Oryzias latipes: one gene and its partners. The protein of the gene in region 3 purifies or fractionates together with the protein of the main gene of each other region. This does not show direct contact. Links are inferred from orthologs where the notes say so. Each region holds a gene or a part of one and is shown on either strand. Other genes may lie near its edges.

Evidence for each region.
Region 1: the proteins of ccdc97 (region 3) and sf3b6 purify together in Homo sapiens (affinity purification with mass spectrometry; 3 studies listed by BioGRID and IntAct, counting the BioPlex papers as one, with this or other methods). This does not show direct contact. The link is inferred for Oryzias latipes from reciprocal best matches to the Homo sapiens genes CCDC97 and SF3B6.
Region 2: the proteins of ccdc97 (region 3) and sf3b5 purify together in Homo sapiens (affinity purification with mass spectrometry; 3 studies listed by BioGRID and IntAct, counting the BioPlex papers as one, with this or other methods). This does not show direct contact. The link is inferred for Oryzias latipes from reciprocal best matches to the Homo sapiens genes CCDC97 and SF3B5.

Annotation. Positions count from the first base shown.
Region 1 is NC_019882.2:13,000,166-13,003,949, reverse strand, and holds sf3b6 (splicing factor 3B subunit 6), read right to left. Parts: upstream 2,209-3,784; 5' UTR 2,086-2,208; coding exon 2,056-2,085; intron 1,732-2,055; coding exon 1,613-1,731; intron 1,126-1,612; coding exon 987-1,125; intron 891-986; coding exon 801-890; 3' UTR 522-800; downstream 1-521.
Region 2 is NC_019873.2:17,221,462-17,225,635, reverse strand, and holds sf3b5 (splicing factor 3B subunit 5), read left to right. Parts: upstream 1-1,225; 5' UTR 1,226-1,350; intron 1,351-3,224; 5' UTR 3,225-3,249; coding exon 3,250-3,510; 3' UTR 3,511-4,116; downstream 4,117-4,174. UniProt on the Homo sapiens protein: Component of the 17S U2 SnRNP complex of the spliceosome, a large ribonucleoprotein complex that removes introns from transcribed pre-mRNAs.
Region 3 is NC_019866.2:18,440,725-18,445,001, forward strand, and holds the start of ccdc97 (coiled-coil domain-containing protein 97), read left to right. Parts: upstream 1-1,370; 5' UTR 1,371-1,693; coding exon 1,694-1,849; intron 1,850-1,929; coding exon 1,930-2,094; intron 2,095-3,970; coding exon 3,971-4,130; intron 4,131-4,207; coding exon 4,208-4,277. UniProt on the Homo sapiens protein: May play a role pre-mRNA splicing through the association with the splicing factor SF3B complex which is involved in branch-site recognition.

The DNA of each region.
Region 1 (3,784 bases), on a different chromosome or scaffold from region 3:
CTTAACAATAAAATGTGAAATGAGGAATTTTAAAACAAATGGATAGTCCCATGTAAAAATATAAAATATGATAAAGTGGATAAATTAAAGAATTCAAAATAAATAAAAACTATTAAAACATTTGCTAAAAGGCAGTTGAAAAAGATGGGTCTTGAAGCTTTTCTTAAAAGCAGCTATGCTCTCTGCAGCTCTCAGGTCCTCTGGCTGACTGTTCCGTAAACAAGGGTGTACCCCACCTTTGCCCTACAACAGCTAGGATAGGCTCCAGCAACAAATATAGCAGGTTAAGATGGATGGACGGAAAAGACTGAATGACGGTCAGCTTCTCAAAAGATACTTTTCTGTTTGTGTGTAAATGTGGGGGAAAAAAGAAAAATTAGCTGATGTGACAGGTTTACAAAACAAGAGTAAAGTGAGTTCATATGTGGTGTTTATAAAACAAAAGACAATGGGTTTAAAGAAAAAGAGACATTTATTTTACAATAAATGGGTTTAAACAAACATTACATCCATTGATGTTCTTGGAGCACAAGGCAGAGACCTGTTAACTTTCAAATAAAATTATGTGGGGGGGGGGGAAAGAACTGAACTGAAAACATGCCTGGTTTCACTTCAAATTAAAAGCTCAATTAACATCAGAGAAGTCATTTTTAAAAAAAGCAGACGGCAGGTCATGCATAAAAGGTTGACAAAAGCACCAAAACAAAAACCTGACCAAGCAAAAATTTTCAAAAAAGGGAACATTTGTACAGGTACAGAGAAATCTAAGGTGTGTGAGAAGGTTTTGATAGTCGTGGAGATCATTTGGGAGGGTCTGTGTTGATGCCGTATTTCTCTTTTAGGAGCTTCAACTGCTCTTCCTTCTTCTTTGTGTCCATTTTCTGGAAAGCCTGCAAAAATATGAGCGGGTTGATGGTAAACAGAAAAAAACAAACAAACAAGGAACCAAAAAGGTTGTAAATGGATGAAATAAAAAGCATACGTACTCTGTTGGCGTTGTAGTAAAGAACAACCAGGTAACGATTGCAGACGTTGAAGCCTGACAGGTGATCGCAAGCGTTCTTGGCATCAAATATGTCTTCATAAACAACATACGCCGTTCCTCTGCTTTCAGGTGTGTTACCCCTAAAATACAGCAAAAGCATGAAATGGTCACACATCTTAACCTGTTCCATAATAATATTGTCCTTAAAGACCCACTCTGATGAAAACTGTTTTAAAACATTTTCTCATGGCATTTTTCTGATGAAGGACAACATATATGAAAGAATATTGAGCTTATTTACATATTTATTTTATTGTCTGAAAACATATGAAAAAGTGATCTAAGAGGGACTCTTAAATGATGATAACATGTGAGGGGAACAAACAAAACAAGCATTTTTAATATGATTAATAATGATTTAAATGTCAAATTTAAGCAAATGCTACACCACAGTTTGGAATGAAACGATTTTTTAAATAAATTTTGCTTCTCATTAATACTACCATGTAAAAAAATTACATTTATATATATTCATTGTTAGTAGACGTGGTTGTGTGTTTAGGACAGACATTTTTTTAAATTAAAAATAAACAAATAAAACTGAAGGTATGAAGACAAAACACTTACGTTCGTATTTGACGTATGGGTCCATATTTGCCAAAAATGTCGTACATTTCCTCAGCCGTGATCTTGTAAGGCAGATTTCTTATGTATAGGATTCTGTTCACCTCTGGAGGTAACCGAATCTGCAGCACACAAAAAAGAAATGTGTAACAGAAAGACTAGCATGTAAACAAACGGTATAAGAATTCTTCACTAAAGTGTACCCTCTAACGTGCTAAAACAATAATAATTCTTTAAAATTTTAAGATGACAAAACAATCAATTTTACCATCTCATTTTCAAAATGCCGTATTTATTAATTTTTTTACGTAGCGACGCTATCTTTTAGTAACCAATAGCTGCTAAAGGCTAACGGAGGGCTAATTGTCCCTTTCGTGAGCACCAAAAACCATATTAACATATACTCGTTGTTATATAGTAAAGTTAAACACAAAAATTGACCTTACATTAGCGCGTTTCGCAGCTTGCATAGCCATGATGACAGTTTATTTCGTCTGAACAATAGCTAAACAACAAACACGCAATGCCTTTAGCCTTCACCAGGAAATGGAGGGACAAAACGAAGACGAACATCCGGTTAACGGATAATACCAATAGGTACAGCAATAGGCATGTGCTTCCCTCGTGTGGTTAAAAGAGGAATCACACACATTTTGAGATACTATTAACACAACTTTTTTTAAATTTCTTTGTAATTCTGTTCTTTGACCTAGAAAAAATCAACATGGCCATGAAAGTGGTTTTGTGGTTTCACAAGACACAAGAAATAAAAAGACTTATGTGTACCTCTCTCATCAAAGTGTTGTGCAATGAGATATATGTGTAGGGAAAAGTAAAATTACTTATAAACATCAATAAAATGCAAAACAGTTTTTTTTGTCATTTTTGTGTTAGGAAATTCCCTACACTGACAAAATCTATGTATTTAACTTTTTTGGAGAAAAATATTGGAGATTTGAGCACTAGTTAGAATTGCAGTTTGACCTGTTTACCCACAATTGGGGTTTTGGCGTTAAAATGAATCTACTCCCCTTTTGTGTCTTTTTTTTCTTTAAAGATAAAATCCAAATTCTATACATATTTATGAGGGGGAAGTTAGTAAAAATAACCATCTCTCATAAAAAAACAAACAGAAAACAAAGCTGTGCTTTTAATTTCTTTAAAAAAATACAGTCTAAAAAAGATCTTAATTCAAAGTACTCGATTCCTCTTCTTTTGTGACATTTAAAAAAAAAGCGAGATGACAATCACCTTTATAAATCTAACCACAAATAAAAAATATTTTTTCTCTAAAATGTTCGGAGAAAAAAAACTATATATAGAATATTAAATAGAATTGTGATAAAGTATTACAATATAAAAGAGGAAAAATAAACGACGACATGAGAATAAAGTCATAAAATTATGAGAAAACAAATCAACATGGGGTAATGATTTGTTGAACTGTTGTGCTTTTATTTTCTGCAATTAACAGGTTATGGGTTAAAGAAACGAAAAGAAAAGAAAAAGTATTAGTGCGCAGGCGCCATGTGGGATTTGATGATTCGGTCCGGTAACGGTTGCAGATTACGGCGGGAGTTTTTCCAACGGCAAACTGGCGTCTCTCGAGGAAAATCTAGAAGGGACGTTTTATTGAAGTCTCGCGACGTGGAAAAAGATCGACGGTTGAAGACCAACTCGGCGAGGAGAGCTTTCTTAGTCTGAGATGAATAAACGGGTGAGTTTTAGTTTAACATTTTTTGTAAACCAAAACGATAGCCGAACTCCTCGTATTGACTTTAGTTGTTTTTTTTTATTCGCAAAACGCCCGTTTACAGAAACCCGTCCTCAATGGCTAACCTAGCTTAGCCAGCGGACTGTGCTAGCTGCTGACGGTCCGATTGGATAAATTGTTTAAGTTTTGACCATAGTTACGACAAAAATTGTGAAGTCATAAAAATATATAAGAAAGTAATAATAATAATAAACTCATTGTAGGACTGACAATAGAAAAAAACGTATTTAGCTAAGTAGTTTGAGTTAACATGATATTAGAAATGAAAAATTTCAAGGCAAGCCTGAACAAATAAAGTCCAAATATTTATCTAGCAAAGCTTGCATGACAATTTAAAGACCTATTCAATAGAAAATTGTGTTTTTAACAAGTCTTTCTTGTGGATTTTTTTCTGATCATGG
Region 2 (4,174 bases), on a different chromosome or scaffold from region 3:
GAAATTATAAAATATTGGAATCACTGAAAAATATTGTAACTTTACTTGATTTATGTAGCACATTTAGTAATACTGACGAAGCAGGGTTTTTTGCACACGTGAATACATGGCCACTGGTCACATACTGACATCTGAAAACCATCAGACCATTCCTGTCTAATGTAAAACTTTAATGTAAAAATTTAAAAAAACATTCAACCTCCTGAGAACCGAGGAAAAAAAGTGTCTTACAATTCCTGTTTTTATGTGATTTCCTATCTATTTAGGCCTAGAACACCTAACAATTTTAATTTTTTTAAAAATATTTTTTATTGTAGATAGAAGACAACAGGATGATATTTCTGTGAAAATAGAGATCAATTTGGAAAATCAGAAAAAAGGAGCAGATTAAATCTTTAGAGTGATATTCACCCAAAAAACATTAGATGATCCTCGAAAATATTGTTATCGATGTACTGTGAAAAGTACGAGATTGGACTCCAGTATTCACAAACTTTGGGGTCATCTTGAGCGGGGCGCCCTGCTAGCACAGGTGTAAACCTGTGATGATGTACGTTTAAAAAACACAAAAAAAATCAAGTTAATAAAAAAAGCAGTTTTTTTTTTTTCCATTTAAACATAGTACAAACACTACAATGTTCTAACATGGTCATAAAATGTAAGACATTAGCCTGAAACTAAATAAAACATGCAAGTTAGTCCTGGTCCACAGAGCACGAAGACTTTGCTGCACCTTCTCTGACTCATCAGATTCTCCTGAATTATCATCTTCTTCATCTTCATCATCACCTATCACAGACTGAATCTCACCCTCCTCATCCTTTTCATCATCCGAAAGCTCCAAATATGAATCAACCTTCGACTATCTGGTACAGAATCCTCTCAGCTTCACTTCTTTCACCTAAAAATAATGTGTAGCCATTAAATAGATTAAAATGGTCCTGGTGTCCACTACAGTTGACATTCATTAAATGCCTGCTGTTTTAAAACCGAAAACCTGAAACTGTTTTCAGATCTAAAAATATTGTTCCTAACCTGTTTATGACCAAGAATATATATAATTATCATTGTAAAAAAAAAAAAAAAAAGGAATAGATACAGAATATTTGACTTGCCTTTCACCTTTCCATAAAATGAGGTTTTATATGTCGTTCACTTTGGTGTCCACCTTTACCATCGCGTTAGGAATAAAAAGTCGGAACAAAAAAAACACCGTCTCGGTTTCTCACCGGTTTGTTAAGTCGAAGGCAAACCGGAAGCCAGCTTCTGCTCGTCGCGGTGTGTTCGGACGGACGCAGTTTTTATCATCTTTTTCAAGCTTCACCTGTTTTTCAAACCCGCGCTTTTCAAGTAAGTTGACCTTTTATATGTATATCATCGATGGCCACATGGAAGTTGCACCGCTGGCTACGAGAGAAACTAAAGTTCAGGAGTTTAAATAGGTTATTAGCCGAGACCCAGGCTAATGATATAGGATCAAGCTAACAAAGTAAAATGTAACTTTGTTTTAAAGGGATAGTCGTGCTTTCAAAAACGGTCATATACCATAAATGGTAAATATCTGCAATAAAGTATGACACGATTTTATTTAATTTCTGGTAGTTGTGCATTATATTGATTTTCCTCATGGGAAAATTATCCATTGACTCTCCGAGGAGTCCTTTCCTTAAGACCAGAATTTCTAGCAGTTTAGCTAGGCTAAAAGGTTCAAATCTGCATAGCTGTGAGAAATCCGTCGTTTTCCTGTAATTCTAACAAATCAGTCATGCCTTTGTTTTTAATTTGTCACACTAATTCAAAACTTGTTTCATGTTATTGAAAGGGATGATAATCTAAGAAATACAGAATTTGTTGGTGTGCAAACAACAAAACAAAGCTTTTGTATTTCATTATGTCAAAGTAAACTGCATATGATCTGGAGAAAAGGGACGTAAGAAACATAAGGGGAAAAGTCTGTATTAGACATTCAACTCTACGGTTTATTAATATTTTTGTTTTTACTGAATATTTTATTTTGATGTTTATACACACCACTGCAAAGTATAGTAATTTAATAATTATTCTACTTCTACACTAGTTTAATAATAGACTGGTGAATGGGTATGTGTTCAATGTGTCCTATAAGATTTTTGTGGGGATGCTGGGTAAGTAAAGGATAATAGCTGACAAGGTGTCTTGACAGTTTAAGCTTCCTTGTCGTCCGTTAAAAGACGGATAATGACCTTTGAGGTGTCCATTATCAGAAATTATACCATGGTACGGGTGAATACTCAATTCTGATTGGCTGCTGAGTGTGCATTAAAAAAGTGATAACCGCACGTCTAAAAAAAGAAGTTCCAGTTACATTGCTTAGATGTTCTGTGTCACTGCGCCGGCTTTTTTAAAACAGACATTTGTTTCATCATCTGGATAAAAACAAGCGGTGAGCGGTGAACCTTCATTCTGAACTGATGCTTTAATTTAACATACACCATCATGACGATCAGCTTATTTATGGCTTTTACTGCTGCAGTGGAGGTCGGTGCCAGCTCAGCGTGTTGTCATGTTACGGTAACGTGACAACACGCCACACCATGTTGCAAAAAGTCCGCTTTTTTTGAAAAAAGCAACGTAAACCGAAAAAATAACAAGAATAAATGACTAAAAACTGATTGAAAATGTATTTGTTTTGTAAGTGACCATGGTAAAAGCAGGATAATCAACGCACTAATAATCAACGGAAGCATCGGGCAGTTTGGGTTTCCACGGCGTGCGTTAATTTCTGGCAACGTATACTTTGTTGGTGACTATCCCTTACTTAATCCCCACTCAGCAGCCAATCAGAATGGAGCATTCACCTGGACCATGGTATAACTGACATTCATTGATATATTTGAAGTTTAGCAGTTGGATGTGGTAATCTTTACTTTCAGATGCTCCCCACTCATTGGAGAGACACATAATAGAATTTTATAGGCTTGTGAAGTGTATTTACCATTAGCCATGTTTATAACATTTGCTTCTTAAAGGTTTAATTTATTTACATGTACCACCATATAATATAAAAAAGGCATTATTTTGAGTTTTTTTTTCCTTCAAATTATTTTGTTTTTATCTTTGAATTGTAATTTTCCTCACAAATGTCACAAGAATAACTAAAACCTTCTTGTTTATGAGTTTATCTGACTGGATCGTCTGTTTGCTGAAGCACAATTCAAATCTCTGATTTACTTTCTTTCTCCCAGAGCCTGTTGACTGATCTCAGAGAGAATGACTGACCGATACAATATCCACAGTCAGCTGGAGCATCTCCAGTCCAAGTACATCGGAACAGGGCATGCTGACACTACCAAATGGGAATGGCTGGTGAACCAGCACCGTGACTCTTATTGCTCCTACATGGGTCATTTTGACCTGCTCAACTACTTTTCCATCGCTGAAAATGAAAGCAAAGCTCGTGTTCGCTTCAACTTGATGGAGAAGATGCTTCAGCCATGTGGACCACCTGCAGACAAACCCGATGATGCATAAAACACAGCCCAACCAACTGCTGCAGCTTTTTTTCCCTCTTACCTTTTCTTTTTTTCAGTTTTGGACGGTTGTTTGTTTCTAACCTTGAGGTCAGAGCAGCCAGTAAAATCTGGTATTCATGTGTTCACTGAAGCTATTCTCACTTGTTTGATCGGTGAATACATTAACTGTAGTGCTTTCAGGAAACGAATGAGAATGACGACACCTGAACTTATCCATTTCAGAAAATGTTAAAAATGTCCAATATGTGCACAATGTTGAACTGTTGTATTTCTAATGAAAACATTATTTTTCCTTTGGTTAAGCTCTTTCACTGATCATTTTATTCTGGAAATATGTCAGTTTTCTAAAACGCATTTAAAAAAGTGAGAACGTTTAAATGAATAAATCATCCAAACAAGACGTTTTATTGTAAAAAGAAAAAGACCAAAGTCATCCTTAGGACTTTGTTGAAGGAGCAGCAATGGCTATAGCAGTGGTTTTGTTTTTGCTTAAAATATATGATTTTGTTTTTTACTTTTTACAAATGCCTTCAAAAATAATGCATCTTTAGATTGAATATTTGCCAATTGTGTTTACCTATAATAAACGTCTTAGTTACAAGTACTGTTTTGTTGTGCAGGCTTTAGTCAGACACAAATTTTAATTTTTTTTTGCCCATCAA
Region 3 (4,277 bases):
GGCTTCCAGTCTTCCGGACACATCGTTGGGAATTATCTTTTATGTAATAGATAATACTTATAGATTAAAATTAAGATTACGCCATTAAAAAAAACAACAAAAACATGCCAGTTTGTCTGTGATTAAGAATAGTGCGTTAATTTGACATCTCCTAAATGCAGAATTAAGGATTTTAGTAAATTTGATCTACTACTGCCTTTTTTTACCTTAGTTTATAACTATTGTTATTTTTGATTATTATTACATGTGACTATTATTTCTGTTACCAGTATAAACATGACCTTAGTTTAAGGGGGCTGGGAAGATGCTGTATGAAAGAAACAAAATGCGTAAAAAATGTTTACCAAAAAAGAAAAGTGAAAACGAAAGGTTCCCAAACATCATACCTTTCATTTTATACTTTTTTATATAGTCGAAAAATCACACATACATGATGCATTTCAAAGCCTTTTTTCATTCACTGTTAATTTTCTTTGATCATTTTATTTATGTCTTTACTAATTGATTTGATGGAAAAGTGGATTTTTGCCATCTTTAGTAAAGTTACAAGTACTTTTCTCTACAATTTAGTTCAATGATTCATAAATATATCATCAGTTATTTTATTTTTTTCAGCTTGTTCTGTCCAAGAACTGAGCAAACGGATGAGAGCTGAAGGCCTTTTGTGTTGGACAGGTTTAGTATTACAAAAAGAGCTTATGTATCTTTGGATGATAGTATATTTACATATTCTTTTTATTAAATGGGAGGGAAAGGGGGAAAGTGTGTGTGTATGGGGGGGATTTAGAAGAAAGATAAAAGGAGAGAGAGGGGAGAGAGTGAGGGGATACAAGTGCCGAGTTGCTAATTTGAATAGGTTATTATTTTAAGCTGTGAAACATTCATGTTAGATCTGCTGGAGAGACAAATATTACATCCAAAAGTGAAATTCTGACACTAAGACAAGGAGAAGATATCTATCCATCAATACACTGTGTTAGGAGGAAGCAGACAGGGAGCAGTGTGCCAGTGTGCACGTTCATGTGGGGGTGGAGATACATGCACGCTGCCAAAGTGAACCATGTGATCATTAGGGGAACCAGATCCTCCCCACCAGTTAATTTTTTTAGTTAAAAAGTAATTAACTGTGAGGCTGCTTGCAAGTTCTTGAACGTTTTATACATTGATATTCTGTTTTATTTTCTCTTTCATCTTTCCTGAATTAAATGTGCTGCATTATGTCAGATCTAAGTACTAATAACATTTTGTTTGTTTTGGTTTTTTCTCATTTAAATCATATACATATAATAAAGTATATGGTTTAAATACAGTGGATCTTTTGTTTGGTTGTATCTCTTAAATCAACCAGTAGAGAGCGTACCAAGCAACACCAGGCATAACGTTTAGGGTAGGAACCTTTCTTTCGGCTACAGAGAAACGGGGAATGTGTTACTGACGGACTGTTGTGAAAGAGAAACGGGGAATGTGTTACTGACGGACTGTTGTGAAGGGAAATTGCAAAGGAAATATTTCCATGCTGGAATTTAAGTATGAAAATGTACACAATTAATTGAATATGGGTTTACAGGTTTTTTAATTTCTAGGGATATAATTTTTCTAAAACGCTTAACGCTGGAATTTAACACCCAAAGTCACAGCTCGCTCGGGTTTGTTTACATCGGTTTTAAGCTGTTTTGACTGACTGTGAATAATCATGTGGGGTGAAATCATCGAGCCTCCGGTAAAAACCCATCCAAGTTCACATGAGAGCGAACCGGAGAGTAAAGAACCGGCGAAACCTGTGGACTTTCCACGGAGATGCGACCAGAACAGACAGACGGAAACCCGGCAGCTCCCACGAGACTTTCAGGTAAGACGTTCTGCATTCATGTACAACATCTTCAGACATTTCCTGGTTTGAAGCTGCGCTAACGCTGCTGTTGCTCACAGAGCGAGTCCAGCTGCGTGAACGCCATGCTGACAGACGTGGCCATGAGCGGCAGCCAGGTGAGGAGCCAGCAGATCGGGGAGGCTGAGCTGAGCCTCGGGGAGCGCAGACAGGAGCTGCTGCAGCAGTTCCGCAGCAGGCCGCTGGTGTTCCTGGAGAGGTACCACGTGAGTTTCTGGCGGAGCCTCGGTCGGTCCGGCACACAGCGGCGGACCTGGCAGTTTGGGGGCTCCAAGGGGCAAGCAAGGAAACACTGATGTCTGCAGGAGTAGATGGATCATTATTTTTAATCCTTACCTAGGGTAAAACATCAAATAAATGTAGGAAATGTCATAAAAAATGAATTCTAGAAGTGTAAAAAACACACACAATTTCAGAATTAGACTGTTTCCATTAAATGATAATTATGCGAATAAACATTAACCATCTCCCGCGATAAGTCATTCAAAAATATGGCAACAGATGTAAACAATACTCTGATTTACAAGCTCCTTACATGTGGGAGGGGCTACGGATAAAGCGATTTTGGGATTTTACTGAGGAGCTGTGGATCCAACAATTCCGCATGACACGCTAAACTTTTGGTGAGCTTCGTGATGCTGTGGGGCCTCCTGTGGCGCCTGCTGTGCAGCCTGTTCCTACCAAGGAGCGCATCGCCATCACCATCTATCTGAATCATTTGATTTAAAAAAAAAAAGTGGTTCCATTGCAGTTTTGCGAAACATGTCAATTTTGCTAAGCCTCAAAAACCACCTCCTCCAATCGAAAAATGTTTTATGGATAAATGTGTGTTTTTTCTAAATTGACATGTTTACATTAGGCGTATTTACGATCACAAATCGAATTTACACAATTTCATAGTAAGTGAAAAGGCACCCGGAGAGAGCAATCTGACGAGAAGCAGAGCCCACAGTGTGGCAGGGCTCACTGCATCAACACAGTGTCATTGAACAGAAAGTGTGCAAAATACAGAGATTTTAAGGATAAAATGCATTATTAGAACAGATTAGATGACATATTTATTTTGTTATTAGCATACATTTCATGATGACAGTTGAGGATGATGACAGGTGAGGTACTGCAGTAAGGAACTAAAAACCTCTGAACTGACCACAAACTTGCCCAAATTGTAAATTCTAACCAAAGGAATTTTTGCCAGAATGTAAACCGCCAAACTTGGTGGGAAATCACCCAATCTGGCAACACTGCTTTCACCGCTGCTCAGATAACAGGGCTTCCTCTTAGGGTCTCTCTTTACATAAGCAGCAAACTTGCTCATCAGTCACCAAATTGCTGTTGATGGAATAGTCCATTGCTTCACAGTTACAGGGGTGGTCGAAACACATTGACATGAGCAGTCTTAGGCCATTTCAGTCATTTGGGTTTTTATGATAGAAATAAAGAATAATGGGCGATACGTTTTTTTTAAATATTTTCAATAATTGTTCAATCAGTTGCCTACTTTTGGCTAACAGTAAGTCAAAAGCCCCTGCCTGTGTGTGCAGCGGGAAAAGCATGAATAAGCCCATGTTTGCATTAATCCTCCACAAGCACGAACCATGGTTGTATTTATGTTTAGGAGTTTGCAGTTAAATCATTAAAGGTTTAGAGTTTACAGGATCCTTTAGATCAATTCTTTTTTTTTTTTTTTTATGTTTTATTTCCCCCAAATTTTAATTTTACTCATTTAACCTTTAAATACAGCAGGGGATGTTTCCCAAAGGACTGGCCCCTTCAGTTACAAAAAGCAGAATCAAAGTGACCATAAACAAATGGATCAGAAAACAATAAATTGCCAATTTCAACAAAACCAAGATTAAATAAAAGTCATAGGAATGAAAAAAACTGAACTTAAGAATTTTAAAATAGATAAAGTAGGTCTGATCTGAAGATGGGGTTCATTCCAAGGTGTGGGTACACTTAGTTTTTTCTAAAAATACAGATCTGACTTGGTGTAACATTTTTACACAAGGAAACTTTTGAGTGTTATAGTTCTAAAGGCAGTTTTATACAGTCTTTAAAACTGTGTTCCCCCGTTTCCAGGCCTATCTGAAGCCCGAACACCTCCCTGTGTTTTCCCACGTCAGCTCCGACCCCAGAGCCCAGCACTACAGCAATGTGGTGCGGACGCGAGCGGCCTGCTGCACCAGCAGAACCAGAGTCAGAAACCACCGCTACGCCGCTCTCCGAGCTCTGCAGAAAGGTACGACACGGGCTTTCCTCTCCATGATGGACGTCTGTTTGTTTGTGCTGATGATATCACGGCCCGTCTTCTCGCAGAGGGAAAGTATTTCAGTGAGGAAGAGATGCGCAGGAGAGAGCCTCTGCTGTACGAGCAGTACATTGGCCA